Linked DNA regions of Macaca mulatta. The protein of the gene in region 1 binds, or shares a complex with, the protein of each later gene. Links are inferred from orthologs where the notes say so. Each region holds a gene or a part of one and is shown in the gene's direction. Other genes may lie near its edges.

Evidence for each region.
Region 2: PRPF19 (region 1) and PPIE share a complex: the UniProt entries of both Homo sapiens proteins name them as parts of the XAB2 complex. The link is inferred for Macaca mulatta from reciprocal best matches to the Homo sapiens genes PRPF19 and PPIE.

The regions. Positions count from the first base shown.
Region 1 is NC_133419.1:13,165,790-13,170,315, forward strand, and holds the start of PRPF19 (pre-mRNA-processing factor 19), read left to right. Parts: upstream 1-1,557; 5' UTR 1,558-1,758; coding exon 1,759-1,777; intron 1,778-2,690; exon of another isoform or gene 2,691-2,778; intron 2,779-4,238; coding exon 4,239-4,388; intron 4,389-4,526. UniProt on the Homo sapiens protein: Ubiquitin-protein ligase which is a core component of several complexes mainly involved pre-mRNA splicing and DNA repair. Required for pre-mRNA splicing as component of the spliceosome.
Region 2 is NC_133406.1:201,035,279-201,039,090, reverse strand, and holds part of PPIE (peptidyl-prolyl cis-trans isomerase E), read left to right. Parts: intron 1-921; coding exon 922-1,045; intron 1,046-3,812. UniProt on the Homo sapiens protein: Involved in pre-mRNA splicing as component of the spliceosome. Combines RNA-binding and PPIase activities.

The DNA.
Region 1 (4,526 bases):
CCTGTCATCACTCCCTCTGTTTTACAGATGAGGAAACTAAGGCATAGAGAAGTTCATACAGTTAATCACCTGGGTGGTGCTAGGATTTGAGCACACAGTCTGACTTCAGAGTCCATGCTCTTGGCCACTATGCCATACTACCTTTTGTACCTGTAACTTTTATTTTTCTCTCCAAGCTTTTGCTTACATTGTTTCTCCTTCTGGAATGCCTTTCCTTCTCCTTCTCCTCTGAATACTGCCCACCTGTCAAAGTCCCTCTCACTCACACATCCTGTTCATCCTGCCCGTTTGTCTTGATACCTTATAGTCCACACCACATGTCTTTTGCATGATTCCTGAGAGTATCTTATCTTACAGATATCCACAAAGAATCATACACTATCTGAGCTGGAAGAGAAACAGAAAATACAAAATAAATTGATAAGAGGCCACTGGTTTGGACTGAGCTCTTGCGCTAGGCCTAACAGACCAAGCTAAAAAGAGTCCTGCCGAAGTTCCACCCCAATGAGCTGAAACTAAGATCTTTATGACCTTCTGAGAGAGAGTGTGTGTGTGCATGTGTGTTGGCGGGGAGAGCTAAATTCCCAAACAGGCAAGTTTTACATGGCATGATAAAGAAGTACCCTCCACTTTAACCTTTACAAGAAAAGTAATTTTGAGATTACCAAATGACCAATCCCATTTTTGTTCTGTTTCTGTTTTCCTCAGTCCTTTTCTGTCTAAAAAACCAAGCTCCCCTGTTCAGCTCATTGGAACAACCATTAGATTTTATAGTGTAAGGCGCTGCCCAATTTTATAGAATTGCACCCTAAGTCCCAGAGCTACTCTGGAGGCTGAGGCAGAAGGATCACTTGAGCCCAGGAGTTCCAGGATGCACCTGTGATAGCCATGATTGCTACGATTGCACCTGTGAATAGCCACTGCGTTCCAGCCTGGGCAACATTGCCAGAGTCCGTCTCTTAAAAACAAAAACAAAAACAAAACAAAACCAAAAAACAAAAACAAACAAAAAACTTTAAACTAAATTTGTTGTGATTTTGTCTTTTGACAAAGAAGAAAGGGCAGGGAAGCCAATGTGAATTGCCCCAAATCACAGAGCGAAACGGTAGTAGTCAGGACCAAAACGCTGTCTTAGCCGTTTTCTTAGTTCCTGTACCCATCTGCCTCTGTATTTTTAACACCAGGCCATCCAGCAGTGTCTCTTAAAGGGTGGCCCGAGAAACACCTGACTTAGAATAGCGTGGGGCGCAGTCTGTCTACGCAGATCCGAGGAATCTGCATTTTAACAATGGGAAATTGGGAAATTCTCGCGCACACCAAGGTTTCAAAGACCAGGGTCCCGTGACACAGTGCCGCACAGTTGTCAAAACAAGTGCTGTCCAATTGCTTTGGTTTTAAGTTCTCACTGCATCATGGGAAATGTAGTTTCGAGTCTCCTCTCTTCCGACGCCCCCGCCAATCCCCGGGCGCTTTACGGAACGAGCCGAGTCAATCCGGAAATAACCGAGTGTTCGTGGCGGGCCCTTTCCTGCCCGGCTGCATTCTGGGAAAGGTCTATTTCCGTTAGGTGCTGGAGGCAGTGGCGCGCGGCTGTCCCCATTCCCACGTGAAGCGCTACGCGAGCATCGCTCGACTGGCGGCTCCCAGCTCGCAGCTGAGCAGTCCCGGCAGCAGCGGGGGACCGGAAGTGGCTCGCGGAGGCTCAGAAGCCAGTCCCGGAGTCCGGCGTGTGGCGCCTGGGAGCGCGGCAACGGCGCCATGTCCCTAATCTGCTCCAGTGAGTGTTGCCTGCGGCCGAGCGCGGGTCGCAGGAGGCCGGAGAGCGGCGCGGGAGCGTGTGCGGGCCACTGCGGCGCCGGGGCCGGGGCCGGGGTGGAGGCGGGAATGGGGCGCTCCAGAGGCAGAGCGGCGGCCTGTCAGCCCCGGAGCCCTCCCCTCGGAGCGGGGTGCATTTGCGCAGTGCTCCGCAGTTTACATAGTGCCGGAGGTTTATTGTCGCAGGCATTACTGAGGCAGGTCGCCTCATTCTACCGAGTGGAAACAGGCCTGGACAGAGGGAGCTGGTGCAGGGGAAACAGCCTTGATGTAAGAGTCAGGAAACCCGAGGTCTTGTCCAGGGTCCGCCTCCTGTTGGCTTTGTGAATTGGCTTAAGGCTCTGTGCCTCGGTTTCCCCATCTGCAAAATTGAGAGCATTGCACTGGATATTTTGTGAGGCCTTGCTCGGATAGTCGCAGCTTTTGCAATTTGTAAAGGTCACATGATGAGTTAGAGGTAGGCAAGGCTGGCAGCTAGGTATATGGCTCCCAGCCTTACAGTGTATGACTAATTAAAAACAGCGCACATTTATAAAGCCCTTATTGGTTTACAACGCGCTTCCAAGTCTAGGATCTCATTTTATCCTCACAAGAATTCCCTAAAGGAGAAAAGATCCTGGTGTTGCAAATGAGGAGGCAAGGCTCAGGAAGAGCGGGGCTTATCTAAGAATGCGTAGCTAGTCAATGGCAGAGCTGGGTGACGTAGTTAGGTGACACGGAGTTTGGAGCCTGAATCCTTGCTTTTTCCATACCTTCCACTATCTTTCCCTTTGATATTTTATCATGACGTACATACGTTTTCCTTTCCCTTTTCGTTGTTTCATCAGATTACTCGTTTCCCCTCCCTTTTGCTATTCACCTCCGTCTCTTCTCAGAACCTGTACGTTGATCCAGAGAGGGGGAAGAAGGAAGGGAAATGATGGAAAAGGAATCCCTCACATTGAAGAAATTACAGCTCGCAAAGTACCTTCATATTCATTGTTTCCTTCCAGTCTTGGGAAAGCTCTCTTTTACGTTCCCCAGCACTATCTTTCCTGGCAGGGTTCACTCATTCGTTAGATGTTTACCGAGTGCCCCGGGGGCATCTGCATTGTACTGGAAGTGAGAGACCAGCTGTAATCCTTATCCTCAAGGGGCGCACAGTCTATGCAGGCAAGAGTGTAAATGATACCTCTATTGCGGGTTGTTGTGAACATGAATTACTGTACTGTATGCCTAGAATTGTGCTTGGCACATAGACATGTGCCATGTAAATATTTTTATTGTAATGATTGCCACTTTGCTCCTTGGAATCTTCCAGGTGATAAGTGTCTGCCTGTATCCTAATCAGTTGACTGGTAGCTGGCAGACGTCAATAGCTTCAGGATGGGGACTGGTCACCTAGAAAGACTAAAGGGTATTAGAAAGTTGGGATTTTCAGTCCTACCCCCCACTTACCTGGGGAACGAGAGGGGCTGAAGTTGTCACTAGTGACCAGTGATTTATTGAATCATGCCTTTGTAATGAAGTTTTCATAAAAATACAAAAGGGCAGGATTCAAAGAGCTTCTGTATAGCAGAACATGTGGGCGTTCCTGGAGGGTGGGGTGCCCAGGGAGGGCATGGGAAGCTCTGTACTCCTTCTCCCATACCTCATCCTATGCACCTCTTCATCTATACCCTTTGTAATATCCTTTATAATAAACTGGTCAACATAAGTGTTTCCCACAATTCTGTGAGTCACTGTTGAAAATTAATTGAACCCAAAAAGGGGGTCATGGGAACCCTGATTTACAGCTGGTAGATCAGAAGAACAGGTCAAACAACCTGGAGCTTGCGATTGGCATCTGAAGGGGTGGGGGAGTCTGGTGGGACTGAGACCTCAACCCGTGTGATCTGACACTATCTCCAGGTACCTGGTGTCAGAATTGAATTGGAGGACACCCGGATGGTCACATCTGAGGTCACAGAAGTATTTTGTTTTGTGAGAGAATAGGAGAAACTGAGTTTGTTATTCCTATATTCTCAGACTTTATGATTTCTTTGATAATCCCTCTGGAGCTATAGACTAAGATGGATGGAAGGGATTTGAATGGCTTCATGTGTGTCTCCATGTCATGGAGTAAACTGTATTCATAGAGTACACAATCATTGTTCAGATATTAGGTGGCGATAATGGACTGCTGTTCTCTAGGTGCTTGGCACATAGTAGTTGTTAATAATTATTTGTTGACTATCTGATTGTCAGGAGACTAAAGGAAAAGCTAGTTCCACAGCTGGAAAGCATTCTGGGGCCAGTACAGAACTGGCTTAGGGTCAGATGTCTTGCTTTTTGCTAGTTGATTGTGAGGATGCCTAGTCTTGTTGGGGCTAATAGCAGATGAGGAATCCTCTAGGCTCAAGATTGCCTTCACTCCAAGCTCACTGCCGGCCTTTTCTCTACAGTCTCTAATGAAGTGCCGGAGCACCCATGTGTGTCCCCTGTCTCTAATCATGTTTATGAGCGGCGGCTCATTGAGAAGTACATTGCAGAGAATGGTACCGACCCCATCAACAACCAGCCTCTCTCCGAGGAGCAGCTCATCGACATCAAAGGTGCCTATTGGCTGCCTTAGTCTAGGGCCATCTTAGCTCAGAGCCTGAGAGGATGGGAGGTGGTGCCAATGCACTGGAGGAGGAGATGGTGGGCTGTTTATGGCTAAAAGGAAAAGATGTGATGGCAGGGGAGGTCCC
Region 2 (3,812 bases), on another chromosome or scaffold:
TCCCCTCCTCTGGATACGTTGTGAATGTTGTCATTCTTCTGTATTTCTTTCTTGGCTCATGGTTTCTCTCTTTTCTCTCAGCTGAAACAGTAGCAGTCAGTCTCTAATTTTATGCAGTCTCTCTTATGCTGTTGAACTTCATGGTCTCTTTCTAGTCCTGAGCTTCAGATATTTCTGCCTGTAAGTCTCAGGCAGCTTAAGTTTGCCTAAAATGGATTCCCCCGCTTCTCTAATCCTGTCTTCCTGTATTCTCAATCTTGGCTAATTTGCCACCATTCATCCACACATTGACCCACACCAGAAATTTTGATGCAAAGCAGAACTCATAAAGTGGCCATCACAGTCAGTGGAGTCCCCCTGGATCATCCTGTATCCTCTGCTTAGTCTTATCTACTTGGAGCACAAAGCAAGGCCCAACATTCTCCACTGTCTTCTGAGCACTTAGGCCTGAGCAAGAGGGCTGCCCCCTTGCTTCCATGTAGCCAGCCAGCGTATGTGCAGGGCCAAGCATAGAGGGAGGAGGTGGTGGTACTTGGATGGATCTGCCTAACTAGAGGACAGTGGGTGGGCTGGAACTGGCATTTGAAGATATTGAGAGTTGTGGATCATGGACCAGAAAAGTGCTGTTCTGTGACTGAAGCAAGAGGAGGAAGCAGATGCATCTGAGGGCGAGCATGATGAGATAACACACCCATGTATGGGCCTCAGGCAGTGCTGAGACCTCCTGTCCCTGGGCATCCAGCTGGGTGCTACGACCATGGCTCCTGCCTCCTGCAGCCCTGTCAGGGACCAAGGCCTTCCCCGTCAGCACTTGCTCCAGCCTACTCACTGGAATTGTGTTCCGGGTGGGTGTGTAGAATACCCGCACTCCTACTTAGGGGGTGAAGGAGCTCTCTAACTAGCAATTTCTTCTGCATCTAGGGAGAGCCCGCTGCTAAAAAGGCTCGGTCAAATCCTCAGGTGTACATGGACATCAAGATTGGAAACAAGCCGGCCGGCCGCATCCAGATGCTCCTGCGTTCCGACGTCGTGCCCATGACAGCAGGTGAGCGGGATGCTGTGGTCAGAACCGCGGGACGCTGGTGGCTGAGCAGTGAGCCTTTCCCAGGTTCTTGCCGCTTCACTTCTTGTGTCCTTGATATTGCTTCTGACTTAAGTTGATTTGAGGCATCTCAGATCCTGGGATCTAGTAACAGATGGGTCAGAGCAGGTGTTTTTGAAGCTTTGTAAGTGCTGGCTTACTACTTTTTAATAATCTTTTCTTAAAAATACAAGTAAATAATGTATTCTTTTTTTTTAAAGAATACCATACACATATATTCCAATAATATTTAAGACAATAAATTGAAAATTCGTTTTCCCCTCTCTACATCATCCTGAATTCTAGAAGTAACTAGTGCTTTTATTGAGTATTCTTTGTAACTTATTAAATATTGACTTCTGTTTATTCTCTTTTTAATCTAAATTTTATTGTCTAGACATAGAAACAGTCAATTCAGTTTCACAAAGCTTGTTTTGAAAGAACAGTCGTCCCCCAGTGCTGTCCCTATGCCCTGCTGCCGACACCATTTGCTGCTGCTCGGAGCCGATTTCAACTCTTAGGTCTTGATTTTTATTTCCATGTTGATAGATAACAGGTTTATATTTCTACTTCCTGTTTTCCATTTTAAACATTATCTTCTGATTTTCTACTTCAGAGGACAAATAATTAGTTTTTTAAAATCCCCTGCCCCCTCATCTTCCCTGTATAGGTACCGTAGTTTTGGTTAGGTCCTAAGTTATTTTAACAATGTAAGCATCATGTGATAACTATCATGCACAGCATTTTGCTTTGCCTGGAATTGATAGTTGCCTTGTTTTTGCATAGTTTTCTATGTAATCGTTCCTGATTTTCTCCCAGATTCTCCTGCTGGGGGCTTTGCATCCAGGTGTCTGCATCTTGTTAAGGGGAGATGAGGGTGAGGCTGAATGCATCAACGTTCAGTATATAAACTTTCACATAGTCTCCGTTTGTCATTATGTCACCTCAGCCTTCACTATGTGTAGGATGTCCTAGTCCAGAGACCCCCTGCTTTAACCTACCAAAGACTAGACCCCCAGTTGGCTACCAGGTGGGGAAGGGGTAGCCCCCAGCTTCAGAGTCAGGGAGAGGATCCCAAAGATTAACCACTTTCTTAAACGGGCTTTCAGCCAAACTTCCTGTCTCCAGGATTACCTGCACTCTTTCCTCTGAGCTTTTGGAGTGCAAATTGAGTTGCTTCTTGGCTTTTACCAGCTTAAGATTCAGCTTTCTTGGGTCTGCTATATCATTTGGGATTCATTTGTTTTCTACCTTCAGAAATTTTGTTGCTGTTGTCTCTTCCTCCCCGCTTTATAAGTTTATTTTTGGCTGTTTTAGCCATTTTAAAGTGTACCGTTTGTTAGCGGTAATTCCTCTGTTTGAAATTTTTGAATCACCCTAAACAAAACCACTTATGAAAGATACCTATTAAATAATAACTCCCCATTTTCTCCCCCCCTTACCTTCTGATAACCGCTAATCTTTGTCTATGAATTGACCTATTCTAGATTTTCCATGTAAGTGGAATCATAACAATAGCTGTCCTTTTTCGCATCTTGCTTATTTTGCATAGCATAATGGTTTCAAGGTTCATCCTTGTACCATATGTCAGTGCCTCATTCCTTTTTGTGGCTGAATAATATTCCATCATATTTGGATAAATATCTTGTTTATTCATTTGTTGATGGGCACTTGCACATTGTTTTCATCTTTTGACTATTGTAAATAATGCCTGTGTGAATATCCACATATAAGTATATGTTTAAATCCCTGTTTTCAATTCTTTTGGATATATATGCCTAGGAGTGGAAATGCTTAGTCATATGGTAACTCTATATTTAACTTTTTGAGGAAATGCCAAACTATTTTCCATAGTGGCTGGACCATTTTACATTTCTACCAGCAATGTATGAGTGCTTCAGTTTTTCCACATCTTCTCTTTTTTTTTTTTTTGAGACAGTCTCGCACTGTTGCCTGGGCTGGAGTATGGTGGTGCGATATTGGCTCACTGCAACCTCTGCCTCCCGGGTTCAAGGGATTCTCGTGCCTTAGCCTCCCGTGTAGCTGGAATTACAGGCGTCTGCCACCACACCCAGCCAATTTTTTGTATTTTTAGTAGAGACAAGGTTTCACCATGTTGGCCAGGCTGGTCTCAAACTTCTGACCTCGTGATTTGCCTGCCTTGGCCTCCCATAGTGTTGGGATTACAGGCGTGAGCCACCGCGCCTGGCACACATCTCCACAGGTGTGAAATGGTATCTCATTGTGGTTTTTATTTTTATTCCCTACTGACTAATGATGTTGAACATCTTTTCATGTGCTTGTTGGCCATTTATATATGTTCTTTGGAGAACTATCTCTTCAAATCTTTGGCTTATATATTAACTGGATTGTTTGTTTTGTTTTTTTAAGAGACAGGATCTTGCTCTGTCTCCCAGGCTGGAGTGCAGTGGTGAGATCATGGCTTACTGTAGCTTTGAACTGTTGACCTCCAGTGATCCTCCTACCTTGACCTCCCAAAGCACTGGGATTACACCTTGCCTGGCCATTTTGTTGTTGAATTACAGGAGTTCATTATATATTCTGGATATTAAACCCATATTAAATATGATTTGCAAATCAGCATTCTCCTGTTCTGTAGGTTGCTTTGCCCTCTGTTGGTACAGTTTTTTGATGCACATCTTAAATTTTAATTCACATCTAATTATTTTTTCTTTTACCTGTGCTTTTGGTGTGACATTTAAGAAACCAT